Callithrix jacchus: one gene and its partners. The protein of the gene in region 5 purifies or fractionates together with the protein of the main gene of each other region. This does not show direct contact. Links are inferred from orthologs where the notes say so. Each region holds a gene or a part of one and is shown on either strand. Other genes may lie near its edges. The genes, in order: ARK2N, DCAF7, SUPT16H, GPATCH2, CSNK2B, RPS6KA1 and GPATCH2L.

The links.
Region 1: the proteins of CSNK2B (region 5) and ARK2N purify together in Homo sapiens (co-immunoprecipitation; 3 studies listed by BioGRID and IntAct, with this or other methods). This does not show direct contact. The link is inferred for Callithrix jacchus from reciprocal best matches to the Homo sapiens genes CSNK2B and ARK2N.
Region 2: the proteins of CSNK2B (region 5) and DCAF7 purify together in Homo sapiens (affinity purification with mass spectrometry; 4 studies listed by BioGRID and IntAct, with this or other methods). This does not show direct contact. The link is inferred for Callithrix jacchus from reciprocal best matches to the Homo sapiens genes CSNK2B and DCAF7.
Region 3: the proteins of CSNK2B (region 5) and SUPT16H fractionate together in Homo sapiens (co-fractionation; 4 studies listed by BioGRID and IntAct, with this or other methods). This does not show direct contact. The link is inferred for Callithrix jacchus from reciprocal best matches to the Homo sapiens genes CSNK2B and SUPT16H.
Region 4: the proteins of CSNK2B (region 5) and GPATCH2 purify together in Homo sapiens (co-immunoprecipitation; 3 studies listed by BioGRID and IntAct, with this or other methods). This does not show direct contact. The link is inferred for Callithrix jacchus from reciprocal best matches to the Homo sapiens genes CSNK2B and GPATCH2.
Region 6: the proteins of CSNK2B (region 5) and RPS6KA1 purify together in Homo sapiens (affinity purification with mass spectrometry; 4 studies listed by BioGRID and IntAct, with this or other methods). This does not show direct contact. The link is inferred for Callithrix jacchus from reciprocal best matches to the Homo sapiens genes CSNK2B and RPS6KA1.
Region 7: the proteins of CSNK2B (region 5) and GPATCH2L purify together in Homo sapiens (co-immunoprecipitation; 3 studies listed by BioGRID and IntAct, with this or other methods). This does not show direct contact. The link is inferred for Callithrix jacchus from reciprocal best matches to the Homo sapiens genes CSNK2B and GPATCH2L.

Annotation. Positions count from the first base shown.
Region 1 is NC_133514.1:89,266,856-89,270,355, reverse strand, and holds part of ARK2N (protein ARK2N), read right to left. Parts: intron 624-3,500; 5' UTR 554-623; coding exon 1-553. UniProt on the Homo sapiens protein: AMPK substrate important for exercise capacity and skeletal muscle function.
Region 2 is NC_133506.1:88,863,307-88,866,806, reverse strand, and holds part of DCAF7 (DDB1- and CUL4-associated factor 7), read right to left. Parts: intron 305-3,500; coding exon 132-304; 3' UTR 1-131. UniProt on the Homo sapiens protein: Involved in craniofacial development. Acts upstream of the EDN1 pathway and is required for formation of the upper jaw equivalent, the palatoquadrate. The activity required for EDN1 pathway function differs between the first and second arches.
Region 3 is NC_133509.1:55,882,703-55,886,642, reverse strand, and holds the start of SUPT16H (FACT complex subunit SPT16), read left to right. Parts: upstream 1-1,140; 5' UTR 1,141-1,232; coding exon 1,233-1,298; intron 1,299-3,940. UniProt on the Homo sapiens protein: Component of the FACT complex, a general chromatin factor that acts to reorganize nucleosomes. The FACT complex is involved in multiple processes that require DNA as a template such as mRNA elongation, DNA replication and DNA repair.
Region 4 is NC_133520.1:11,521,275-11,525,240, reverse strand, and holds the start of GPATCH2 (G patch domain-containing protein 2), read right to left. Parts: upstream 2,801-3,966; 5' UTR 2,682-2,800; coding exon 2,626-2,681; intron 1,718-2,625; exon of another isoform or gene 1,637-1,717; intron 375-1,636; exon of another isoform or gene 196-374; intron 1-195. Other genes in the region: spermatogenesis-associated protein 17-like, read left to right, coding at 3,089-3,156. UniProt on the Homo sapiens protein: Enhances the ATPase activity of DHX15 in vitro.
Region 5 is NC_133505.1:39,169,663-39,173,776, reverse strand, and holds the start of CSNK2B (casein kinase II subunit beta), read right to left. Parts: upstream 2,801-4,114; 5' UTR 2,685-2,800; coding exon 2,609-2,684; intron 2,288-2,608; coding exon 2,205-2,287; intron 1,241-2,204; coding exon 1,138-1,240; intron 556-1,137; coding exon 440-555; intron 1-439. UniProt on the Homo sapiens protein: Regulatory subunit of casein kinase II/CK2.
Region 6 is NC_133508.1:63,192,467-63,196,613, reverse strand, and holds the start of RPS6KA1 (ribosomal protein S6 kinase alpha-1), read right to left. Parts: upstream 2,801-4,147; 5' UTR 2,745-2,800; coding exon 2,610-2,744; intron 1,794-2,609; coding exon 1,677-1,793; intron 911-1,676; coding exon 829-910; intron 1-828. UniProt on the Homo sapiens protein: Serine/threonine-protein kinase that acts downstream of ERK (MAPK1/ERK2 and MAPK3/ERK1) signaling and mediates mitogenic and stress-induced activation of the transcription factors CREB1, ETV1/ER81 and NR4A1/NUR77, regulates translation through RPS6 and EIF4B phosphorylation, and mediates cellular proliferation, survival, and differentiation by modulating mTOR signaling and repressing pro-apoptotic function of BAD and DAPK1.
Region 7 is NC_133509.1:111,081,051-111,085,280, reverse strand, and holds the start of GPATCH2L (G patch domain-containing protein 2-like), read right to left. Parts: upstream 2,801-4,230; 5' UTR 2,731-2,800; intron 410-2,730; 5' UTR 400-409; coding exon 1-399.

The DNA of each region.
Region 1 (3,500 bases), on a different chromosome or scaffold from region 5:
ACCTGATCCTCTCCTTGTGCTTTTGGCTCCGATGACCTTTAACCTTGGCGACTCGGCCATTCTGTTTATCACTTGATTGCCGGTTTTTCTTGGCAGCCATAGTGGATGTTTCACTTTCAGATCGGGACCGCCTAGACTTGCGCCCAACTGTGGCACCAGATACTCCTGAAGGGTCTCCTTCTACTGCTGTTTCTGCCTGAGAGGGTTCATTCTCTTCTGCAGAAGACAACGTATCTGAATCAGCCAGGTGACCACTAGAGGAAGGGGAAAGCATGCAGTGATTAGAGGAGTCACTCTCATAAACTCGGCCAGTTGTAGGCTTGTCACTCTCTGTGGATGCTAACTGAGACTCAGAAGAGTCCCTTCTCAGTTCCATCAACAAGCAGGGCATTGAAGAAATAACAGTAGACTCTGCTACACCATCTTTCTGAACTTGAGATTCCAGTTCTACAGATCCATCTTCCTCCTTGGCTGTCTCTTGTTCGGACGTTTTTGGTAGGGCTTCGGACTCAATGAGTTCTTCAACTTTTCCTACTGCCTCCTCCATCTTCATTTCAGAATTTCAAGTTAAATCATGAAGCAGAGTCTAGGAAATGATATCAAAGATGCAACAGGAAAGCAACCTGTACAAAAACACACAAAGTCAATAAACAAAATGGCAGATTATTTAATCAACACAACAACATGCCTACCTTTCTTTTTTTTTTTTTTTTTTAATTTTTTGTTTTATAAAGATGGGGTTTCACCATGATGGCCAGGCTTGTCTTGAACTCCTGACCTCAGGTGATCCACCCACCTCGGCCTCCCAAAGTGCCAGGATTACAGGCGTGAGCCACCGCGCCCGGCAACATGCCTACATTTTTAGGTAGAGCAAAACTTACCATTACACAGGTCCTTAAAATACAGGTATTATTATCTGCTTGTTTGATCAACAGTCAAATTCAAAGGACTTAATACCATCAAAATCTAAAAATGCCATAATATTAATCCTCTATTACTGAACTTACAAGGCCAACAGGTAACAAACATTTTAAGTTTACGATGTTAGTGTTCTAGAAAGAAATCTTCAGCCAGGCACAGTGGCTCATGCCTGTAATCCCAGCACTTTGGGAGGCTGAGGTGGGTGGATCACGAGGTCAGAAGATCAAGACCATCCTGGCTAACACAGTGAAATCTTATCTCTACTAAAAATACAAAAAATTAGGAGGAGAAACGAAGGAGAAAATACTAAGGGCAGCCAGAGAGAAAAGTCAGATTACCCACAAAGGGAAGCCTATCAGACTTAACAGCAGATCTCTCAGCAGAAACTCTACAAGCCAGAAGAGAGTGGGAGCCAATATTCAACATCCTTAAAGAACAGAACTTTCAGCCCAGCATTTCATATCCAGCCAAACTAAGCTTCACAACTGAAGGAAAAATAAAATCTTTTATGAACAAGCAAGTACTCAGAGATTTTATTACCACCAGGCCTGCTTTACAAGAGCTTCTGAAAGAAGCATTACACGTAGAAAGAAACAACCAGTATTAGCCTTTCTAAAAATATACCAAAAAGAGCATCAACATAAAGAAGAATTTACATCAACGAATGGACAAAACAGCCACTTAACATCAAATGGCAGTAATCCTAAATTTAAATCGACTAAATCCCCCAGTCAAAAGATACAGCCAAAACCCAATGGTATGCTACATCCAGACCCATTTCACATGCAAGGATACACAAAGACTCAAAACAAAGGGATGGAGAAAGATTTACCAACCAAATGGAGAGCAAAAATAAATAAATAAATAAAAAGCAGGAGTTGCAATTCTCGCATCTGATAAAATAGATTTTAAAGCAACAAAGATATAGTGGTAAAAGGATCAATGCAACAATAAGAGCTAACGATCCTAACACCCAGACACATAGAGACTTAGGCTCAATGAGACAGAAAATTAATAAGGAAATCCAGGACTCGAACTCAGATCCGGAACAAGTAAACTTAATATTTATAGAGCTCTCCACTTTTAATACACAAAATATACATTCTTGTCAATACCACATCACACCTACTCATAGGTTTAAATGAAATATTGATTGGCCATTATTAATACCCATTTTTTAGAATAAAGCAACATTTCCGTTCTTTCTCCCTGTTTTTCTTCCTCTTTCTTCTTCTCCTTCACCTCTTTTTCTTTCTTTCTCCCCCCCAAAAAAAGAAAAAAAGATTACCACTTTTAAGTAGCATCACCAAAACTTAAAAACAATACTTTATCTTCCTTTTCCTTTCCTTTCCTTCCTCCTTTTTCTCCTTTCCTCTCCTTTCCTTTATAAAAAAAAAATTAGCCAGGCGTGCTGGCAAACGCCTGTAGTCCCACTTACTTGGGAGGCTAAGGCAGGAGAATTGCCTGAACCTGGGAAGCAGAGGTTGCAGTGAGCCAAGATCACACCACTGCACTCCAGCCTGGATGACAAGAGTAAGACTCCATCTCAAAAAAAAAAAAAAGAAGAAAGAAATCTTCAAAACTCTGATATGCCTTTATTAACTTTGATATAAATGAAAAAAGAATGCTTTAAAACTAGTCTAGAAAACAATGCAATAGCTGGAATGACTACTTTTACATTCAAATCCTCAAAGAAAGGAGGTGGGGGAGGGGAGTTACAGTATAGAAACATCAAATGTACACCTTTTTTGTTTTGTTTTGTTTTTTGAGACAAGGTCTCACTCTGCCACCCAGGCTGGAGTGCAATGGTGCGATCTCAGCTCACTGCAATCTTCATTGCCCTGGCTCAAGCAATTATCTTGCCTCAGCCTCCCAAATGGCTTAGGCTACAGGCACACACCATTGCACCTGGCTAATTTTTGTATTTTTTGTAAAGACAGGATTTCATCGTGTTACCCAAGCTGGTCTTGAACACATGAGCTCAAGTGTTCCACCCACCCTGGCCTCCCAAACTGCTGGGATTACTGGAGTAAGCCACTGTGCCTGGCTCCTACACTTATATTTTATACACACACACACACACACACACACTCTCTCTCTCTCACTCTCTCTCTCGCTCTCTCTCGCGCGCTCTCTCTCTCTCTCTCTCCCTCCTTCAACTACATGCATTTGGCAAATGAGCAACCAAATACTATGCATCAAACCTGTCTGCAGTCCCCTCAATAGGAGTTGCTCTAGTGAAACACTAAGATGAAAGGCCAGAATCTATCTTTCCTGAATCCTACCTAGTTCCCACGTACCTCATCATGCTGAACATGAGTCTAGTGTTCAAATGGATGTTTTATCAACAATGGTCACTAAATACAGAACCCAGAAAACTCAGTATATTCTATGACTGAATTAAGGGGTTTAAGAGAAAATACTCTACACCCATTTTACACTTTGTACGCTAAATTTAGAAACTAACACTCTGCCACCACTGTGAGTAATACAACTCCAATTAACCATACAGGTACAGGACATAATATTTAATCTCAAGAGCTTATGACCTATACAGTTAAGTCCTTAACATTTTTGGT
Region 2 (3,500 bases), on a different chromosome or scaffold from region 5:
CTTCTGGTAACAGTGGGTGCAAAGCAACGAAAGACATACTGGCCACTGGAAACATGTTTCTTCTTACTTTGGGGTGGGGCAGAGGCAGGAAACACACAAGGCCCTGCCTCGTGCGCACAGCGCCACCAACATTACACTCTGAGTATCTCCAGGCAGTTGTTGTAGCAGATGGCGATCCAGTCGGGCTGAGTTGATGCCCACTGCACATTGTTGATCTCTCCTTCAGCTGTGTAGGCCAGGATAGGGTCCTCAATTGCTCGGGGCATTTGCTGGATGTCCCAGATGAGAGCCTGGTGGTCATCCGCTAGAGACAAAGAAAGCCAGCAAGCAAGGTCACAACTGAGGCAATGGGGATGATGATCCCTGTATTTCAGGAGCAAGTCACAGTTTACAAAGCAGTTGATCACCAAAACTCCGTGATGGAGGTTCTATTTTAAACCCCCATTTTATCGATGAAGAAAACAAGATTCAGAAATGTTAAGGCACTTGTCCCAAATCACACAGCTGTGCAGCCAGTGAGCAGCAGAGCCAGAACTCAAGTCTAGGCCTTGACTCCATCTTGCAGGTGTCCCTAGGCTCTATCCACTGCACTAATGAGCCCTTCTCACCTGGGTCAGGTATCAGGAGTGGACCAGGGGATACAAAACATGTCATTTGCAGCCACTTAAAATACTGGAGTTATAAGATCCTTCTCTGATCATTCAATATAATGAGAAGGTTTCTTCCCATTTATACTTCAATGAGGTATTATAGAGAAAGAAGACTGATAAAGTAGTGTTGATATGTGCTGTTAAAAAATTATTTCCTGGCTAGGCCTGGTGGCTCACACCTGTAATCCCAGGACTTTGGGAGGCTGAGGCAGGTGGACCACCTGGGGCCAGGAGTGGCCAACATGGTGAAACCCCGTCTCTACTAAAAAATACAAAAAATTAGCTGGGCATGGTGGTGCGTGCCAGTAATCCCAGCTACTCAGGAGGCTGAGGCAGGAGAACTGCCTGAACCCAGGATGCAGAGGTTGCGGTGAGCTGAGATTGCGCCATTGCACTCCAGCCTGGGTAACAAGAGTGAAACTCTGTCTCAAAAAAAAAAAAAAATATATATATATACAAATAAACCAGGCATGGTGGTGCACACCTGTAATCCCAGTTACTCAGGTGGCTGAGAATCACTTAAACGGGAGGCAGAGATTGCAGTGAGCCAAGATCATGTCATTGTACTCAAGTCTGTGCGACAGAGTAAGACTCCACCTCAAAAAATAAAATAAAATAAATAAATAAAGCCAAGAAAATATCTATGGGAAACACCAGAAAGAAGACAATCACCTTAAATATATAAAAGCACGTGAAAAATGACTAGAAGGAAATATATCAAAATGAGAATGGTGGCAATACTAAGATGGCAAGGTTATGTTTACTTTTCTCTAGTTCTGTAATATGTTCATATTACTTTTTGTTTGTTTGTTTGAGATAGAGTCTTGTTCTGTCACCCTGGCTGGAGTGCAATAGTGTGATCTTGGCTCACTGTAACCAATGCCTCCTGGGGTCTTCTGCCTCAGCCGCCTAAGTAGCTGAGAATTCAGGCGCACCAGCACAACCAGCTAATTTTTGTGTTTTTAGTAGAGACAGGTTTTACCATGTTGACCAGGCTGAACCTGAACTCGTGACCTCAGATGATCCACCTGCCTCAGCCTTCTAAAGTGCTGGGATTACGGGCATGAGTCACCGCACCCAGCTTACTTTTATAATCAAAATAGTAAGTTAATTTTAAAAAAAGCAAAAAAAAGGCAATGGTCTTCAGAGCTGCAGTTTACCCTGACTCTGCCATGCATTCTGATGAAAGCTGGTCTTAGATACACAGGGAATCTGAATAAACTAAGCCTTAATAGGCCAGGCTAATTATGGGCAATACTGGTATTCTACCGAGACCGCATAGTCTGGGCCAGGTGCAAGATCCCTCTCCCAGGGACAGTGTATACCAAAAGATCAGGGTATTGCCCTCTAAAGCACTAAGTTCCTTATCCTCAGTGCTCAACTGAGCACACTTGAACAACAGCTCCTTTGGTTGAAGGGGCTCAAGGCAGGTGCAACACACTAAATGACAGAGAGCAGGGCAAAGGCAGCAGTCAGGAGCAGAAAATGCAGCTTCTAAGGGGCCAGTCCTGCTTTCCATGAATGTTAGATGATACCTTTTCTGTTTCTTCCATCCCTCCCTGTCCACACCCCTAAAAAAATAAGAGGGCAATAACGAAGAAGACAGACCATAACCTGAGGTATATAAGGCGGCAGCATGCCCCCAACTGCTCTTCAAGAAGACATACAGGCATGAGCCCAGGGCCAAAATCAGGAGAAGCTTCATGTCTTCAAAATAATGCTCAAATGGCAGAAAAACACCAAAGTACATTGCTTCTTGGGCTTCATAACAAACCTTGTCCATTATAAGGATACTGATTAGCGAGGAGAAGAAAAATGCACACTAAAAAAGTTAAGGAGCAAAACACCACAAAGCTCGGACAGAATCCCATCGTGCAAAAGGAAGATGTATAGAATTGTCTTTAGGGGTATGGATGTACACTCCCGAATGTATACCAAAAGGGTCCGGAAGGAGACACATGAACTGTTGATAGAGGTCATCTATGCAGAGTGGGATGGAGGCAGAAATAATATAGGAAGGAGAAACAATGACTTTCACCTTAAACATGCCTCTGTACTGTTTTCATTTTAAATAACAGATTGGCATTCATTATAGAATAAAAGTGCACTGACAACCAGCATATTTTTCTTTTCTTTTTAAAAAATTTATGTTAGAGGCAGGGTCTTGCTTGGTTGCCCAGGCTGGAGTGCAGTGGCACAATCATAGCTCACTATAACCTCAAACTCCTGGGCTCAAGGGATCCTCTCACCTCAGCCTCTAAGTAGCTGAGACTACAGGAATTCACTACCACACCCAGATAATTTTTTAACTTTTTGTAAAGAGGTCTCACTATACTGCTCAGGCTGATCTCAAACTCCTGGCCTCATGCAATCCTCCCACCTCAGCCTCCTAAAATGCTACAATTACAGGCCTGAGATGCTATGCCTGGCCCAACATATTTTTAAGAGGTATTGCTTTTATTTATTTATTTATTTGTTTGGAGATGGAGTCTTGCTCTGTCACCCCGGCTGGAGGGCAGTGGCATAATCTCAGGTCACTGCAACCTCCACCTCCTGGGTTCAAGCAGTTCTCCTGCCTCAGCTTCCCAAGTAGCTTGGACTACAGGTGTGTGCTGCCATGCCCAGCTAATTATTTTTGTATTTTTAGTAGAGACAGGGTTTCACTATGCTTGTCAGGCTGGTCACAAACTCCTGACTTCAGGTGACCCACCCACCTCAGCCTCCCAAAGTGCTGGGATTACAGGTGTGAGCCACTGTGCCCAGTGAGTAAGGGGTACTCTCTTTGGTCTGGGAAATAGTGAAATGAAAACCACAAGTCACACACTGCAACCAGGGAAAGTTCTGTGGGGC
Region 3 (3,940 bases), on a different chromosome or scaffold from region 5:
TTCCTTTGTTCTATATTTGCTCAAACCCAATGTGAGTATTGATTTTGGGAGGTGGGTAATTTTAGCACCACGTTGCTGAAGTTAAGTACTATCCATACTAAATTACCTTGGATAGAGCAGATTAAGTCATTTGTACTTCTCTAAAGGGCATAATGTAAATGTAGACAGTCCAGCTGCCTAAAGGCAAGGGAATTCTTTAAGGTAAAAGGAGGACAAACTTCTGGATTGAAACTCCCAAGTTTTTAGAAGAAACAGGAAGCAAGCATTTCATCAAGAACCATGTACATTTTGTTTCTAATTACCTGAAGTAACGGTTCTTTGGGGGGAAGGCATAGAATAGTGTCACTTTTCATGAACTGCAGCAAGGGGACTGGCTGACTGGAAGGATGCTCAAGGGATTGGGGTTGTGGAAAGGAACTAAAGGTGTGTGAAGCTCCTCAAGTCATTTATTTCCTCTGACTTCTACCATCCCACTGCTCAGACAAAGCCTGGGCATATAATTTTCCTTTCGAAAGCTAGGTTCCTTCCCATAGCTTGGATCGTAGTTTATCGCGAGGCTGGGCTCCATTTCCTAGGTATGAGATCTCTGTCCCGGCGGACCGCTTGACCGAGCATTCTGGCACCAAGGATTCCTCTGGCCCTGGAGCAGTTAAAGACGTGTATCCCCCATCGTTTCCAGGAGGGGCGCGTGCCCAGTTACACTGTTGTATTTCCACTTTTATCCCACGCTGCATCCCGCTCTTTCCGCTCCCCTTCTTTTGCTGATGGGGTGGAGCTATCACGCCCGCGCGCGGCAGCTCTTGTTGGGCTGCGCAGGCACCGCCTTCTTCGCTTCGCCTAGTGGCTGCCGCCTCGGCAAAAAGTCTGAGGTCCTGGAAACCGCGGCTGGGCTGAGAGTTAAGGGCGGAGGCAGACCGTCACGTGACGACGTAGATTCGCGTGCGGCAGTGGCGAAGTCCACAAAACCCCGCGAAAATCGACTCTTTGCATTGCAGGTTTTGTTGATTTTCTTCGTTTTTCTTTCTCTCCGCCCCCTACCCATCCGAGAGAGGATTTAAAAAAAAAAAAAAAAAAATTCCTAACGCTGTCGGGACCCGGAAGCGGAAAGGGCATCTTTGAGGTCGATACTTCCGGGTCACTGGGAGAGTGCGGGATTCCTGGGCCGAAAGCGGGTGGCAGAACCGGGACTTCGCGTGATTCTCGGAACCCGAGGAGAAGCGGTGTCCGGGGCTATGGCTGTGACTCTGGACAAAGACGCTTATTATCGGCGAGTGAAGAGACTGTACAGCAATTGGCGGGTGAGGAAGATCCCGTAATTTTTCTAGGGAGCCCCCTCTGCCATCCCATAATAACCCTGTTTCTCGGCGCCCTTTTTTCTTTTTCGGTCGGGAATTCCTGGGTTCAGGGTCTACCCCTTTTCGTTGCTCCCGAATCGTTCACGGGAGGCGACCACGAACGCTGCCCCGTAACAGGGAATCCCCCGCATTCACCCTGCTGCGGCCATCACCATCCACCCCGCGTGCCAGCCTTGATCATGCATAACACAGCACTTCTCGCAGTCTCTTCCCGCCCTAGAAGAGGCAACATCCTTCCCTCCTACTCCGTGGTAACGTCTTGCTGCCCCCTCCTGCGGTGTTCTTACGCACCCACGCACTCGCTGTGCCCCTCCGGAACCACAATATTCCACCCCTGGTCCCGCCAGAATTATAACCGTCTTCGTAAAGGAGAGATGGAAGGGCAAGGAGGATGCCAATCGGACTCTTAGCCTTTGTCATTTGCGGGGCTTTTGCTGGAGTTAAAAAAAGAAATACTGCTCACGCGCAATCGCCTCCTGTTCTAGGCCCTGGTGTGGGTTAGAGAGAGAGAGAGAGACCTAACGCTGAAAGCCTGCAGACAAAAGTAATACCAAAACAAAACGATGCCTAAAACCTTATTAGTTCCTTGGTTGTGTATCTGTGGGCACGTGTTCAGAAAAAGAGCTGTGGCAGTTCTCAGTTTTTTAAAGATAGGCAGTTTTGCTGCTTTAAAAACGGCCACAGTTTAAACATTTTTATGATACTAACTTGAGCAAACACTGGGTTGCTTTCTGTGATGCAGTCTGAGTTGACTAGCTTGTCTTGCCTCTGAATCCTGTCATCAAGGAAGATACAGCTAATAAAGATTTTTTTAATTAAACCTGAAAAACATTTTGAGAAAAATCAGTTTTCATTTCAGCTTTGTAAGTTATGGTTGAAACTGATCCTCTGCTAAAACCAAGCCATTGAAATTGGTTATTTCCTTGCCATTCCTATTAAAGATGCCTGTGCATGTTTCATCTTTTGAAGCTAAATACATTAGATAATTGAAAATAAAAAGGATTCTCAGTTACATTTTATGAAAAGCAAAAATAAAAACTCAGTGCTAGATGAATGCTGAACGTTTTAATTTTAATTTTTATTTAATTTTTTTTTTTTGAGATGGAGTTTCGCCCTTGTTGCCCAGGCTGGAGTGCAATGGTTTGATCTCGGCTCACTGCAACCTCCACCTCCCAGGTTCAAGAAATTCTCCCTCAGCCTCCGGAGTAGCTGGGACTATAGGCGTGCGCCACCACGCCCAGCTAAATTTTGTGTTTTTAGTAGACACGGGGTTTCACCGTGTTGACTGGGATGGTCTCGGTTTCCTGACCTCGTGATCCGCCTCCTGGGTCTCCCAAAATGCCGGGATTACAGGCGTGAGCCACCACACCCAGCCTGTTTTTTGAACTTTTTAATTAATTTCCACCTAATGATTTTTTACAGCTTGTCTCACTGTCATATTATTATTCAAACATGATCTATGTTAGAAAAACGTTTTAAAACCTTGATACTTTCTAATGATCGGTAAGTACTAAAAATCTGAAACCCTCTTTTCTACCCATAAACTCTGAAACTATACACCTTTGATACAAAATTGTTTCTAGTCCCAGTGATTTAGATTCATCAAATAATTTCATTCTCTCTATACCATTCATAAAAGCTAATGTGTGGCTCTAAATTCTCCTACATGATGATTAACTGTGGCCTGAAGATAGATTGCCAAACCTAATATAAAACGATAGTCTTTAAATCCATGAAAGTTATTCCCCACCCACCATTTTTTTTGTTTTGTTTCTCAAAAATCATTAAAATTTATTTTGGCCCTCTTATTATCTTAGTGACATCATCTTGGGAAAATGTTAGATACTGATAAGACACTCACTGATGGTATAAATAAAGTTATGAGCCAAATCTGTGTTAAAATGTACCATTTAACAAAATCTGTGGCTATTATGAATAAAACTTTCTGCTTTTGTGTTAATAATATGTCCAGAACCCACCTGTAGAAGTTCTTTTTGTATGCAGTATTCAGCATACGTGCTTTCATTCTGATGTACTTAATCAGGGATAGTAGTTTTCTGGGATAAATCTGGTTTCTTATCCGCCTGGATATAGCAGAAACATAGTGGGATATATAGGTGTGTTGTATAACTTTTTTCTCATTTACACCTTTTCCTTTTTTAGTAAGAAAACTGGGATTGAAATAGAATAACTTAAAGTTAATGGTAAAAATTCCAAGCCTGGCTGGGTATGGTGGCTCATGCCTGTAATAATCCCAGCACTTGAGGCCAGGAGTTCAAGACCAGCCTGGGTAAGATGATAAGACCCCCGTCTCTACAAAAAGAGAAAAAGCAAATAAATTAGCCAGGCAGGTGGTCTGCACCTCTAGTCCCAGCTACTCGGGATGCTGAGGCAGAAGGATCCCTTGAGCCCAAGAGTTTGAGGCTGCAGTGAGCTATGACTGCGCCATTGCACTCCAGCCTGGATGAGACCTCGTCTCTTAAAAAACAAACAAACTAACAAAAAACAAAAAAAGAATCCCAAGCCTTGTGCTGTCAGCTTCCATTAAAAAAAAAAATCCATATTATGACTAAAATTAAAGAATG
Region 4 (3,966 bases), on a different chromosome or scaffold from region 5:
TTTCAGATTTCAGATTTTTCAGTTTTTCAGATTTCAATAAAATCAAAATACCAAATAGGAATGAAAATACAGAAACAAAACTCCAGAGTCAATATAGTTTATCTTAACAGCTTTTTTTAAAAGCAAAGCCACATAACAAAGTTAAAAAAAACAGAATACCATAGTTGAGTAAAGAAATTACCTACGTTTATCCACCTGGTGCCTAAAAATTGAAACAGCAACCTCCAAATTGGAGAGAAGTTGAAAAAGTCAAGATGAGCTGGGCATGGGGGTGCACGCCTGTAATCCCAGCACTTTGGGAGGCCAAGGCAGGCAGATCATGAGGTCAAAGAGATCGAGATCATCCTGGCCAACATGGTGAAAACCTGTCTCTACTAAAAATACAAAAATTAGCGGGGTGTCGTGGCATGTGCCTGTAGTCCCAGCTATTCAGGAGGCTGAGGCAGGAGAATCCCTTGAACCCAGGAGGTGTATGCTGCAGTGATCCTAGACAGCACCCCTGCACTCCAGCCTGGTAACAGAGTGAGACTCTCTCTCAGAAAAAAAAGAAAAGAAATGAAAAAGAAAAGAGAAAGTCAAGATGGGAGCTAAATAAGTTAGAAATTCCAGACTGGTTAATAAATCTGGACATATAACTGCTAGTTTACATATTGTATCTCATTCAGAGACATAGGCAATCTACAAGTTATTTAAGAATTTGGGGGGGGGGTATATTGGAATCATCCTGCAAATACAATACACTTAGGCCAGTTACTTAAACCATCTTTGCTTTTGCATCACCTTATCTAAAACACAAAGAATGATACACCTACCTCAAAGGATTTACATGAGACGACACATGCATGTAAAACCTGGCACCTAGTTAACTGCTTAGTAGCTGTATTCCCAGTGGGACTGGAATTTATTACTGGGATTACACATATATGTTGTATAGTAAATATCTGTCCAATTAATGAAAAAGAAAATTCCATTAAGGAATCTGGAATGACTGTATAGTCATACAGGCAGACTAAAAAATAAAGTTCCAGTTTTTTGGAACATGTTCATTGTGCCAAAACAGGAATGACTTTAAGAATTTCATTCAAAAATACTAACTGCTACCACTTTGTTATACTCTGGTGCCATAGGAAATGGTTGTATGACAAGAGAGCCTTTAAAAGAGAATTGAAGGAGGTTTCTCTCAGTACATAATCACGATTTGGAAGGCAGAAGAAGTTGAGAGAATCAGTCCTCTTCTGATGCAGTCACCTATCCTACAAATCAAGAGTGCCCTAGGAAGAGCAGACCAATCTACAGATGACACTTTATCTCCCTGATTTACAAAGATAATGAATGGTGAAACATTAAGAAAGGTATCCTTGAGAGGGAACTGTGGGATGATGGGCAAGTCCATTATCTCGTTTTGCGTGGTGGTTATATAAGTATATACAATTGCCAAAACTAATAAAATCAAGCACTTAAGAATTATGCAGTTCATTCTATGCTAGTTACACCATTAAAAATTGGTTCATTTAAAAAGTGCTCCCTACTTTTCTCACTAGAAAATGTGATAATTTAAAAAGAGTAAAATCAAATCTATATTCATTATAAACTTAACTACAGGATGACCTGCCCTAACTAAAAAGATTTTGGATACCTTTGCAATGATAGGTGATGTAAAATAATTCTTGAAGATCACAGACTATTAGACTTCCTCATGTTCTAATTTTTGCAGAATCTAGGAATGAACATGCACTGTTTAGCCACATTTCTTTCACCTGTTGGTCAAAACTTTATGTTTAAGGTTTTCAGTAGGAAATTGATTGTTTCACTGGTTGTCTTGTGTTACGTTTGGAAGAAAAGGGCTTGGGAGAAAAATAGGACAGATATTACAGTATTCAACTAGAAATCCCAAAACCCAGATCCTAGCTCTAGGATTAAAATGTACAGGGCAACTGTGGACAAGACACTTGGATATTCTGTGCTTTTGATATTCTGGTATCACAGGGCTGTCATAAGACAAAGTGTATTAATTTGTGAAAATATCTTTTAAAGTCAAAGCAATATATTATTCTAACGTGGCACTGGTGACATGATACCATAGACATAGTCAAGCCCCAAACTTAATCCTAACGGTTGTAAAATTAGTTCCTGGAACACCCCCATACACATCTCATTTGAACTTAGAATGTTCAAGAGGGTGGAAGTAGGTTCCCCCCTCCAAAAAAGGGGGTGAGTGATGTGTTTTCCATTATTGAACTTATCTTCCAAGAGACTTAGTATAAATTGGTGAATTTTGAAAGAGGAGTGGGGAATAAGGCCCAGATTAAGATAAATTCTTCCTGTGCCTAGTTTTGTCAACAATCAATGAGGAGATAAAACCGCTCCTGGGATTACAGGAAGCATGACTTCCAAAATATTGCTAAGCAATCAGCAAACATTTACTGTACTCTTTCACAATTTTTTGGCATACTCTCAAAAGCTCCCTCAAACTGCGTGCATCTCAGGAATGAGTGAGAGCAAGGCCTAGATGTCTTCAGACCATCCATCACAGCTCCCTCCCGCTTCCATTCCAGGTCCAGCGGAGCGGCCTCAGGCCATCACACCCTTCCCTGACCTCCCCCTCCCCAGGGCCGCCAGACTCACCAGCTGTTCCCGGCTGCTGGAGCTCCGATCGGTTGGCGCCCGGCGGCCCCGAACATTAACGACACCCAAGAGCCTGGCCACAGGCTCAGGCCCGTGAACAGACTCCAACTACTACAGCACCGGCGACTTGCAAAATACAGTTCAGCATTTTGAGATGAACTTCCGGAAGCCGACTGAGGCCGAAACCGGATGCCTGGAGCAACCATTAGTTCTCCTCGCCTACTGCTTTCCCTTCCTATAATCCCCTCCTCATACTCGCAGTAGAGACAGAGACAAATAAATTAAACTTTTTGTGCTGCAAAGAAATTTCTTAGTTGTCTTTTTAGTACTCTTAAAGTCGAAATAGCGTCAGAGAAAAGAGCAGTGAGCAAACAATGGAACCCCCCCGGGAGTGAGCTATGGTTTAGCCCAGTTACCATGGACACCGGTAGGCACAGCAGTTGTAAGCCAACGCCAAGAGACCATGGCCACTTTAGCCTGGCTGCAAGCTAGGTCGTTGACTGTAGGAAATGAGTACTACTTTAGGAACAGGTAAGTCAGAAAGAGAAGGATCGCGTAAAGGGCTGGCAGAACTTGCTATCAGTTGTTCCTCAGCGGGAGTTTCCAATTAACGATTTCCCTAATTCATTAAGTAACACCCAATTCTCCCCTTAATGGGCTGGAAACATAATCGTTTGTTTGTATTACCATACAACAAAATTCTAAATAGATAGGGGCCATAGATACTCAGTGTGAGAGGATTTAGGGAAACCCTCAGCATAGATAAAATTGTAAAGTGTTTTTCTTCGATATCACCACTCTGTGATTTGATGAAACCTATGTTCTTCGGGTTCAAGGTTCAATACCCTGACTGGGGTTCACCCTGGCTCACTAGCCCACTGGTTTCCGACTGCTCCCCATCTACCTAAGGATTTGAGCCTCCAGGATTTCACAAACGTCACTGAACTCAATTGTTCTTTGACTCATTTGCCTTTTTAAAATGAAAGTATCAGGCCGGGCGCGGTGGCTCAAGCCTGTAATCCCAGCACTTTGGGAGGCCGAGGCGGGTGGATCACGACGAGTTCAACAGATCGAGACCATCCTGGAAACCCCGTCTCTACTAAAAATACAAAAAATGAGCCGAGCGCGGTGGCTCAAGCCTGTAATCCCTGCACTTTGGGAGGCCGAGGCGGGTGGATCACGAGGTCAACAGATTGAGACCATCCTGGTCAACATGGTGAAACCCCGTCTCTACTAAAAATACAAAAAATTAGCTGGGCACGGTGGCGCGTGCCTGTAATCCCAGCTACTCAGGAGGCTGAGGCAGGAGAATTGCCTGAACCCAGGAGGCGGAGGTTGCGG
Region 5 (4,114 bases):
AGGTGAATAAAATGGAAGGGGTTGGCAGGTAGGTGTTAAGAGAAGAGGCAACTCCCTTCTCAGCCCAACCCACATCACTCTGTCCCCCACTCCTCCCACCTCTGTCCAGAGGCCCCTTCACTGGCCCAGATGGGCTCTCAAACTCCTATGTTGCCTTTCTTCCAGTTAGGCAGACAACAAACCATCAGAGCCATTCACTGTTTGTTCCTTGAGGAAGAGCCAATCTATAACAACTCTCTGTTCAAGGTCTGTCTCCCTCCCTGAAAACGATCCCTTCAGGATGACCCCCAATCAGGATTAAATTCCAAGGCCCAAGTTCTGGGGTTCTTCCCCTCTTCTCAGCTAGCTTCCTTAGCTGGGCTGAAACATGACTTCTTGCTGCAGGAACCTGTTTCTCTTACTGCTCAGAAAGAGGCAAGTGGGAGCAGAGTGGCCTCACCATCTGGGCAATGCCACGGTTGGTAAGGATGTAGCGGGCGTGGATCAATCCATAAAGCATCTCGGCTGCCTGCTCAATCAAGTCACTCTGGTTGGGGTTGTCTTCCAGTTCTTCATCTGAAACACAGCCCAGCCAAATGCAACCACTTGTTTTTCAGCTTTCCTAGGTGCCCTGCCCATACCCAGGGGCTGCTAGCTATTCAGTTTGCCTAGCACCTACTTTTGAGCCTTACCCTATCCAACACCTGGGCATGTGACCCAGAAACCTGGGCTTCTGACGCTTTCACCAGCCCAAGGCAGAGCTCTGCCTTCTCTTCACACCTCGTCAGCCTCTGCCCTCTCCTCTCCTCTCCTCTCCCTCCCAACTCCCTCCTCAATACATAAATGCGACAATATCAATGCAGAAGATCAAACTCCGGACTAGAAGGTCCAAGGTAGGAGAAACAGACAGCAAATGAGACCCATGAGGAAACCCATTTTGGAATAGATCCGAACTGTGGATTTAAAAAGTATGGGAAACAAGTGATAATGCGTCACAAAACTAGACAAGAGTCAGGTGGAGGATCAAAATAAAGCATGAATTTGGGGTTAAGAAAATCAGAGAACCAAAGGAAATTTCAAAATTCAAGCAAGTGAATAGGGATCTGAAGAGAAAAAAAAGTACACGCACACACACAAACAACCCTGAGGGTGCCTCACCAGGCTCCAGGTCCAAGATCATATCTAGAGCTTGTCGATAGTGAGGGACCTGCTCATTGAGTCCAGTAAGATTAAATTTGTCCTGGATGTAGTCTTCATCCACCTGTCAGGATATGGAAGCCAAGAGGGAACCCATGTCAAAATCTCCATCTTTAACGTGAGCAAAATGCTCTAACTGATGCCTTGTTATCAACCTAACTGCTCTGTTCCCCCTTGTTTCTCACTTGAAACTCAGCAGAAGTACTCGCGTCTCTTCTCTGTTCACCTATACTCCCTCCCATAAAAGCTTTGGCTTTTGTTTTCTAAGGATAAGCAGGTACAGCAGTCTTTTTCTTAGAGAGACATTCTTTTCAAGATCTCTATCCTTATTCCTGTCTCCCATCGCTAGGAACCATTTTGTCCTCTCAGCTGGCTAAGGAAGGTGGAAGCTGAACAGCCTGGTTTCTGAACAAAAGATTTGGATACGTAGCATTTCAATTCTCCTAACGGCCACCTGAGACAGGTACTAGCAGTGCCACTTTAGTAATAAAAGACACACGCTGGGTGCACTGGCTCATGCCTGTAATCACAGCCCTTTGGGAGGCCAAGGCGGGCAGATTACCTAAAGTCTGGAGTTCGAGATCAGCCTGGGCAACCTAGTGAAACCCTGTCTCTACTAAAAATACAAAATTAGCTGGGCGTGGTGGCAGCCACTTGTAATCCCAGCTACTTGGGAGGCTGGAGCAGGAGAATCACTTGAACCTGGAAGGCAGAGGTTGCATTGAGGTGAGATCACACCACTACACTCCAGCCTGGGTGACAGAGCAAGACTCGGTCTCAAAAAGAAAAAAAGAGAAAGTCACAAATTGCCTAGTCCAACGTTATATTGCTGGAGGATGGCAGAGTTGGGACAGGCCCCAATTTTGCCACTTTAGCACAGATTTGCCGGGGGTTACTGAGGGGACTCTTCATTGATGGGAAGTTTTCAAGTAGCATATAAGAGAACGATGAGGAAGTGGAATATGTGGAGAAACGTCTAGTGGGAATCTATGTGGAGCTGGCAAGGAGGGGGGTTGAAGAGAACTCACTTCACAGAAGAATTCATTGCCACGGAGCCCACAGAACCAGGAAATCCAGGACACCTCCTCTGAGCTGCTCATCTTCACGTCAGCTGGAAAACGAAGAATGTCAGTAAAGCTCAAGTTCTCCCTCCTTGCCTCTGGTATCCTCCCTCCTCCCACATTCGGCCCTCCAACCACGGGAGACTTTAGAATTTGGAGCCGTCCTTTTTTAAAGGATCCCAAACTCTGAAACACTCCTCTCCAGCTCCTCTAATTTACGTCTCAGCTCCTTTTCTTTGAGGTTAAACACACTTTGGGGTCCCACCACTTGAGAGAACCCAACAGATACTTTGACCCACCAGCCTGACCCACATCCCTGGAGCTCCCGAAGGCCAGGGCCCTCTCTACTTTGTGTCACCTCCAGCACGGACCTCGGCTCAGGCTCCCTACCACTGCAGCTCTCTGCATGACCCCGGCGCCTTTCCCAAGCGTTTCGAAGTTTATCATTCTCTAGCAAGAGCCGGGCCCCTCCTCTTCTTATGGGCTGGAGCGACCGTCAAGTCCCTTTCACTGGAGTCCACACATCTTGCCTCCGCTCCTCAGGCCACCTCTCCCTCCTTTGTGCCGGACCTGGTCGCTTCCTCCCCCGCCCCCACATCAAAGTACGGAGACCCCATGTGCTGCTCCCAACAAGAGACTCTGAGTAGCGACGACCTCAGACTCACCGCCTGGACGGGGACCAGGACTGGGGTGGGGTAGGGAAGTCGCTAGTTCCAAAGAACGGCGGCGACCGCTACAGCGCAGGCCGCGGACCCGACCGCGGCAAGAGAAGTGGGGTGGGGGGGAGTGGAAATTGGGGAGGGTGGGGAAGAGGGCAACACGCAAGCGCCAAGGGTCAGGTGCTGCGATGGATGCCGGGACACGGAGTCCCAGGTAGAAAGAGAAACTGGTGAAATGAAGGAAAAGCGAACTACCAATCCCAGGAAGACCCGCGGACGACCTGGCTGTCACGAAGCCCCGGAGGAGGACGCTTGCGGGCGGGGCACAGCGAGAAGCCACCGGAAGCGGAAGCCAGGTATGACGTTTGGGGCCAGGGAGCCTGGGAAATATAGTTGTGTGCTCACTGGGAGAAAAGCCGAGATGGGGCGGGGAGAGGAGGGAGACACGCAGTTCCCGTCTAGTTCCGGCGCAGCGGGGCGCTGCTGCCCAGGGGACTGGCCCATCCCCGGCCAATCCGCTGGGTCCTTATTGATTGTTGAGCCCCTAGTGAGAGTCAGTCCCGCCGGACACCCTTGACTGGCCTCCTGTTACCCTCCCGGCTCTGGCCTCATGAGGCGAGAGGTGCAGTTTGGCTCCGTGCGTAGGGACTTGGGTTGGGTGGGCTGGGCTGAGCTGAGCTGAGCGTTGTGAGAACCAGAACGGCCCAGTGCGGTAACCTGAGGTGGGGCCAGCCATTTCGCTCGTCCCCTTGCACTTCTCCTTTTACGCTCTAAGTGTGACCTTAGAACCCTGGTCAGAGTAATGGTGAGGGGCAGGCGTGACGTTATTTCATTTCACGGCTTCTCGGCATTCCACAAGTTTCCCTCCGCCTCCTGAGGGCCTTTCCTAACACGGAGAGTGGATTCCCAGGTCCAGAAAATGGACTTGGAGCGAGGGGGCGGGGAGGGGGGCGGTTCACGTTGAGGAAGGCGAAGGGCATTGTGGGGGCGTATAGGTAAAAGTAGAACCCTAACCGACAGATCCTGGTGCTCGCGCCAGCGGGGCGCGCAGAGCTTTGCGCGTTTGCTATTGGAAAGGTTCCAGCGCGGGAAACTGAACTGGGAGCTTTGCGCACGCCTGAGCCCTCAAGTAATGTGGGTTGTGGTTTTTGTTGTTGTTGTCGTCGCCACGCATGCGTCTTCGTGCCGTGCGGCTGTTTGATTGTGTCAACTCTTCTG
Region 6 (4,147 bases), on a different chromosome or scaffold from region 5:
GCCCAACCCAAAGCCCACTACCGACTATCCTCACACCCTTTGTGAGTCCCCAGAACTCTAAGCTTGACTTGGGCTCCCTTCTGAACCTCTCTGCTATCCAGCACTGTGGTCCTGCTTGGACTCACCCTCTCTTGCCTTGCCCAGCTGCCTCCCTGGGCTCCCTGCCTCTTTACTCATGCCGTTCTCTCAGGCCCATGAGTTAGAGGCCACAGAGGTCTCCCTCAGACTCTTCTAGCATCATGAAGCAACCCTGCCAATAGTCAGAACGCCTCTGCCAGACCAGCTTGGTATCTGAGGGTCCCTCCCCTGAAAAACACATTGCATTTATCCAATTTTTTTTTTTTTTCAGACAGAGTCTCACTCTGTCGCCCAGGCTGGAGTGCAGTCTCCGCCTCCCAGATTCAAGCGATTCTCCTGCCTCAGCCTCCTGAGAAGCTGGGATTACAGGCATCATGCCTGGCTAATTTTTGCATTTTTAGTAGAGATGGGGTTTCACCGTCTTGGCCAGGCTGGTCTCAAACTCCTGACCTCGTGATCCCCCCGCCTCAGCCACCCAAAGTGCTGGGATTACAGGCGTGAGCCACTGCGCCCAGCCATGCATTTATCCTATTACTACCTTCCAGACCTTCACAGCCAGTCATTGGCACTTGGCTTAGGGGAAGGGGATTGGGTGGGGAGGGATGGCTGAGACATAGGCCTGTCTCTCCGCTTTTGAACTAGGTGCTCTGAAGACAGAGCTGTCTTCCTTGCCAGAACCAAGGTCCCTGAAGTGTGGGCTGCCTCCCTCAGCCCAGCCTGGGTTCTGCACAGGGAGGTGTCCCTACTCACCTTTCAATGTCGCCTTCTTCAGCACCTTCATGGCATACAGGTGCCCACTGTCAGGCCGGGTAACTTTCCGCACCAGGAAGACCTGAGAAGGCAGAGCAGGAAGCAGGGGATAAGATGGGAGATGGGAGAGGGCTGAGTCCAGGCTGGAGTGCAATGGCGTGGTCTCAGCTCACCACAACCACCACCTCCCAGGTTCAAGCGATTCTCCTTCCTCAGCCTCCCAAGTAGCTGGGATTACGGGCATGCGCCACCACACCCAGCTAATTTTGCATGTTTAGTAGAGACGGGGTTCCTCCACGCTGGTCAGGCTGGTCTCGAACTCCTGACCTCAGGTGATCTGCCCACCTCAACCTCCTAAAGTGCTGTGATTACAGGCGTAAGCCACCATGTCTAGCCTCTTTTTTTCTTTACTTTTTTAAGACAGAATCTTGCTCTGTCACCAGGCTGGAGTGCAGTGGCGTAATCTCGGCTCACTGCAACCTCCACCTCCTGGGTTCAAGTGATTCCCCTGCCTTAGCCTCCCAAGTAGCTGGGACTACAGGTGCCCACCACCACACCCAGCTAATTTTTTGTATTTTAGTAGAGACAGGGTTTCACCATGTTGGTCAGGATGGTCTTGACCTCCTGACCTTGTGATTCACCCACCTCAGCCTCCCAAAGTGCTGGGACTACAGGCATGAGCCACTGCGCCTGGCCAATGACCTGTATCTTCTCTGAGCCCCAAGCTGACCTTTTTGCTCTCCGTGGGTACCAAGGTGACCTCTGATACTTTGGGCCCATAGGTGAGCCTTGATCCCCACCTCCAACATGACCAACGTTGCCTTCACAGCCATGGGCTCATGACTCACTTTGCCGAAGGATCCCTGGCCCAGAACCTTGAGGAGCTCGAAATGGGATGGATCAGCCTTCTCAGAGCCAGCCTTGACGTGGTGCGTGATGGAGATCTCCTTGAGGACGCCCTCATCCTGATGGAGGGATAGAGCTGGTGGGCACAGTGGGCCCCATCTGGGCAGCAGGAGGCATATCCCCCCTGCCCAAGTCCCTTCCCACCAGACCGCAGCAGATGGGACCTAAAGGCCCAACAGATGACTTCCCTGAAGGGCTAGCCTCCAGGGACATCAATTTCAAAAGGGCCTCAAAGGTTGGTGAGGTCAAACCAGAAAAGGTACCACTCCTATTGCTCCTGATGCTCTGGATGGCCCAGAGGGATGCCCAGGCATGGCCAGGCTCAGCTAACCCGACTTGGCTGAGACCCAGAGACCTGTCCCAGGTCTGCCCGTGGGGCTTCCCTCCCCCTGCTGTTTTAGTTTTGCCACAATAGGAAGTAGGTTTGTTCTCATATGGGGAGGTAGAGCTGGGCCTTCATTCCTGGTCAGGATGGGAAGAGGGATCCCTCTGGTCAGTAGGACAGGGCTGAGGTGCACAAAGACCCAAGAGTCACCCAAACTCCCCCATCGACTTGGTCAGCGCTGGCCTGGGGCAGGTCAGAGTTAAGGCCGGAGATTGCATGGCTCATCTTCCCAAACTTCCCTCCTACAAACCTATTAGAAGTGCCTTGCCAGAGCCTCACTGTTCCAGGACTCTAACCTCCCTCCAATCTGCTGGTATTACCTTGAAGCCCTCAAGTGCCTCTTCACCTCCCCAGGAAGCAAGTCTGGGCAGGGTCCAGTCACCCCTGGCAGGGCCAGGACAGACCAAAGCCAACTTGCATTAAGCTAGCTTCCCAGGCACCTGTGCGAGGGACACAGCCAGGCCAGGACCAGACATCCGGGCACACTCACCAAGTCCTGCTGGGAGCCAGAGCCAAGGCCAGGGACAGGCAGAGAGGTCTGGCTGATCCTGGGCCGGTGCTTCCTGGGCAGCCAGGGGAGCAGGGCCCAGAGCCGCAGACGGGGCGGCTTGGGATCCTGCTCCATCCGCCCAGCAGGGCCACAGCACCATGGCAGGAGCAGGCAGCGACCAGGGCTGCCGCGGAGGTGGCCCGGACCAAGGCGGATGTGCAGGGTAAGGGCGGGGGCTGGGCCCGGCCCAGGGCAGCCAATCACTCAGGGTCTGTGGTTTCCCAGCTCCAGGCCTACACCCTCACCACGTTCCCTTCCTCTCTCCCCACTCCCCAGTGTCTGAGGGCTGCCCTCTGGCCATTCCCCCATCCTCCCTTTGCAGAGGCCTGCAAGGGGAAAGCCCCCTGCCAATGCAGCTGCTGAGCAGACAGGTACCCAACAGCAGATAGGTACCCAACAGGCAAAGACAGATGCCTGATTTGTGGAGGCAGACGAAGAGAGACACCCAACAGGCAGAAGCAGGCACCCAAGAGGTGGAAACAGATAAGAATGGCATCTAATAGTCAGGGGCAGGAGGGAACACATACCCAACAGGCAGGGATGGATAAGGATACCTATCCAACAGGCAGAGGCAGGAGAAATTCATACCCAGTAGAAAACAGATGGAGACATGTACCCAACAAGAAGCAGCAGGAAGGGACTCATATCTAACAGACAGAGGTGAACAGAAGCTCATCCCCAATGTGTGTAGGCAGATAGGGGCACAAACCCAACAGGCAGAGACAGAAAGGGACATGTACCCAACAGCCAGAGACAGATGGGGACATGTACCCAACAGGCAAAGACAGAAGGGGACGTAAACCCAACAGGCAATGACAGAAGGGGCCATGTATCCAACAGCACAGAAACAGATGGTGACATGAACCCAACAGACAGAGGCAGAAGTGGACACGAACCCAACAGGCAATGACAGAAGGGAACATAAACCCAACAGGCAGAGACAGAAGGGGACAGGTACCCAACAGGCAGAGACAGAGGGGACATGTATCCAATGGCAGAGATAAATGAAGACATAAACCCAACAGGTAGAGACAGAAGGGGACATGAACAACAGGCACCTAACATGTGACATGTGCCCAACAGGTGAAGGCAGGTACTTATCAAGTGGAGACAGAGATTGTAATCCAACAACAGACACAGGTAGGCAGCAAAGAGAAACAGCCAGTGTCAGTGAGGCCCAAGTAGACTGGCAGACACCTAGGACAGATAGGTCTGATGCCCGGCAGACACACAGGCAGGCAGGCAGGCAGCAGGGCAGGGATCCCCAGGGAGGGGTTAAGCATGGAACTGTGGGTTCTTGCTGCTGTACTTGGGGTGGGGAAAGAGAAGAAGGGGCACAGTCTGCAAACTCAAGAGAGCAGTCTGATATTTCTTGGAGACCCACCTCTGAGGTTGTCTGTTTCCCTAGGATTTTCCTCCTATGCCAGGACCTGAGGGGGTCCAGCTATCGGCTGAGAGGACTATCTCCTGAGTGCAAT
Region 7 (4,230 bases), on a different chromosome or scaffold from region 5:
CTTCACCTTCCGCCTGCGTCTGAGTGGTCGACAAGGTGCATTTTCAGTAAAGGAGTCAGATTCATGCCAAGAATGTTGCTTACTCTTAACAATGGCATTGAGAGCTGGGTGTCGTTTGGCTACCATTGTGTCATCAGAGTCACTAAAATTGGTCACAGGAGCCACTTCTCGACAGTCCTTAGTGGCCTCATCCAGACTTGACTCAGAGGCCTCGCTGTAGCAGCAGGTATGCTCTGCCAGGTGAGTGAAGTCAGAACGACGCTTCCGACCTCGGCGTTTCCGAAGCTGCCGCCTCTGCTGCCGGGGACTCAGGGCCATCTCCTCCCACAGCTCACCAAGCTTATTTTGCTCAGATGTTTGCTCCAAGGCTGATGCTAAGTCGTGTACCAGCTCATCCATGAGGCCACATCTCCCAAAAGGAAGTTCAGAGGGGAAAAAAAGAAAAAGAAAAAGAGAGCCTGAAAGGATCTGTTGTTTTGGAATAATTTGATAAAACAGATCATAGTAGTCCATAGTTCCGCCTGCCTAAACAAAGTAAGTAACCTTTCATCTGGCTACACTTAGATTCTGTTCCTACCACTTCCTTAAGTCACTAAAAATAGGTGTTCTGTCCCTTGTTAAATGACTGAAGTCAACATATCCTTAAGCACAAAAACCTGCTCACCAGATGACAACTGGGACAGGACCCAAAACAAATTTGGGGAACTAGACCCGTCTCTCTTTCCCCAATTAAACGTGTCACTGAATTACCTAATGATGAGATCCAGAAAGATTAGAGATTGTCATTAGACAGGAGTAGAAAAACACACAACTTCAAAATCACAGCAGAGCTGTGGAAACACAGAGCAGGACACAGTCTCAACGAGTATTAAGAATGAATAAAAAACTGCTCTTTGGCCTGGGGTCACTGCCTTCCATGGCCATGGCAGAAAGACAACTTAGTGACACCCTTTAAAGAAGACTGCAGTTTTTGTGATCCAAGAAATTGTGGTGCCCAGGTTTGAAGTCAGAAAGGAGAATAGACTAAGTTTGCACCCATTCTGGTAGCAACTACCACCTGAAAGCTACCAGGTATAGAACCTCATATAGTATGTCATATATTTCTGAGTAATTAACAATTTTTAAGCCCCTTTCCTATCCTTCAGAAAATAAATGTTCATCCTACTTATGTGCTTCAGTGCCACACAATCACTGGAAAAAAATGATACGACAGCAGCTGAAATGACAGGGATAAGTTGAAGTTTCTAAGATTTCTGGCCGAACTGCTTTCCAAAATTTCTTATTTTTCTATCCATCCTCAAACCAAACATCACACTTCAGGAGTCACTTCAGAGGCAAACATTTCAAGAAACGAGAGCAGTAGGAGCAATCTTCAAAATTCCCTCTTAAGGGGAAATGTTTAATATAATTTGTACAGCACCTAATTAAATACATATTAAATTTTTAGCACTTTTTTCGTTGCCCCTGTGCCCAAAGTATTTCAAGATCAAAACTAGAGCTTAAAACTCTATGTGGTGCCACTCTGACCATATTTCCATTCATTCAGTTTTCACTTTGCAAAGCGTTTTCTAAATACTATTTTCATGCCGTGCCTACGTCAATGAATTTAAAGGCAGGAAAACAGTCCTCTGGCTTATCTGCCACACCTTTAGGAGCAATGGTGACACCTACTTCCAAAACTGCCATACAAACAAAGCTTCTCAAACTGTCCAAAGGCACATACACTTTTAAAAGGCCAAGTTCTTTTAAGCAATAAGAAGTGATTTATCAACACCTGTGAAAAGAGGAGAAAAAAAATGGGGGGGGGGGAGCTGGTTAAAAATGCCATGATTGAGGTTTGGGAGACAACTGTCCCTAAGACCAAAATAGAGAAACAAGTGGGAACAGCATGCCTAAATCCACTTCCCTAATAAAGAATTACTGCTTTAAAAACTCAGGCGACAAAAATACAAAAACAAAAGTACAAACAAAAACCTCAGAACAGCACAAACTTGAACAGGGAACGAAGTCAGTAGTCGAATGCCTGTGCAGAATCCTTTCCTGCATCAAAGCCTGCAACTCGAACAGTAGGTGACAGAAGGTCCCTAGGGCTTCCATCTCCAGTCGAGTGCACACTCTCGAGAGGACTCGGCGACCAGGCATGCACCCGGGTAGAGATGAGGCTGAGTCACGCACAGGAAGGAACTGGTAGTTGCGGACAGCAAGTAAGAAGAGAGGCAGGAGCAGGGTGGAAGTGAGGGGCGGAGTAGGAGATGCGAGAGGCAGGAGACAACTTCTCATTTGGGCTCACCAAGGACGGGGTTCGGCTATTCTAGAGCAGAAACTGCCAAAATGGAAGTCGTAGCGACTGAGCTCCCTCCGGGATCGGGGGTCGCAACATGGCCACGTATGTGAGAAAAACTGTTTTCGAAGGACTCTCCACCACGCCCCGGCCCGTCCCTGAGGGCTGGAGCGACCATGGCCCGTTTCCCAAGCCCTCATGCTGCCGCCAGCCCCAAAGAGGCAGAAAGAAAGGGGAAAAGGGGGCTGTGGCCCCGGAGACTGTCCGACCCACACCCCCAGGGATAGGGACATGGGCCCTGAAAAAGCAAGGCCCCACCACCCTCACCCTCCGGCCGGCTGCCGCAGCCCCAAGACGCCCTTAGCCGCTCAGCCGCTGCTTGGCGATCCGATCCCCTATGGCCCTAGCCCTCAGGACCCCAACACTCTCAACCCACTCCACCCCCTCACCAGCTGCCGCAGCCACCTCGAACGGCCGCCGCTTTTTGGGCCGATTCTCACCGCCGGGGTTTCCCTCTCTGACCTCATTTCCGTTCTGGGCCGGAGGGGTGGGGCGGCGGCGAGTGGGTGGGGCTGGCTGCAAGAGCGGGCCCCCGACCCAGTGCTTCCGCCCGTGGCCACACCCACTTCCGCCCTGAGGTGGGCGGGGCTGCAGGAAGCCGGGAGATGGGGCAGGGACCAAGGAAGGATGGTGAATAGGGGCTGGCCGGGAAAGGGCGCCTCAGGGGCTGAGGTGCCCGTGTTGGGAACTACTCCAGCAGGCTGGCCTCATCTTCCTTAGGGGCGTCCAGAAATTGACGCTAGGGAGGGTTGTCAGCTTCCCCCTTGCTTTCTGACCTTTATAAAGGGTGTGCGAAGTTGAGGGGAAATGGATCTTAATGACATCTGCCCTGTGAGCTGGTACAACCTTTGGGGGGGTTGTTTTGCACTGAGTTACTCAGAACATTACAAACTGCCTTGAGCAAGTGATACTGGATTATAACTCAAAGTATAAAAGAAATATTCGTGAATCCATACCGATATAAATAAACGACTGAATGAATTAAAGATTGGAGAAGAAACAAATCCCCCACAGAAGAATCTCAAAGTATGCAGACACACCATCCTGGAGCATAAATTCCACCTCCTTAAATGTGGGCTCTGCATATTGACTTCTTTCCCAAAAGTACAACATATGAAAAGGGGAAAGTGAGTAATTTTACAGTGGATACCTGGCAAACAGTAATTCAGCCAGGTGACCAAGAGTACGTGCTAAATCATGTTGATAGTATGTGGAATGATATGTAATGAGAATGGCACTTTATGATAGTGTCCTTCCATATCTCATAACCCCAGTCTAATTATAAGAAAAGAAAAATCAGGCCAGGCGTGGTGGCTCACACCTGTAATCCCAGCACTTTGGGAGGCCGAGGCGGGTGGATCACGAGGTCAAGAGATCGAGACCATCCTGGTCAACATGGTGAAACCCCGTCTCTACTAAAAATACAAAAAATTAGCTGGGCATGGTGGCACGTGGCTGTAATCCCAGCTACTCAGGAGGCTGAGGCAGGAGAATTGCCTGAACGCAGGAGGTGGAGGTTGCGGTGAGCGAGATCGTGCCATTGCACTCCAGCCTGGGTAACAAGAACGAAACTCCATCTCAAAAAAAAAGAAAAGAAAAGAAAAATCAGACAAACCTGAATTGAGGGACATTCTGCAGAGTGCATGATCAGTATTCATCAAAATGGTTAAGGTCAGCAAAAGCAAGGAAAGTCTGAGAAACTCAGAGCCAGGAGGAGCCTAAGGAGACATGACAATGTAATATGGTATCCTGGCTGTGACACTGCAATTTAAAAAAGAACATTAGGTAAAAACTAAGGAAAACTGGATAAAGTATCAACTATAATAATGTATTGGGCCAGGCGCGATGGCTCACGCCTATAATCCCAGCACTTTGGGAGGCCGAGGTGG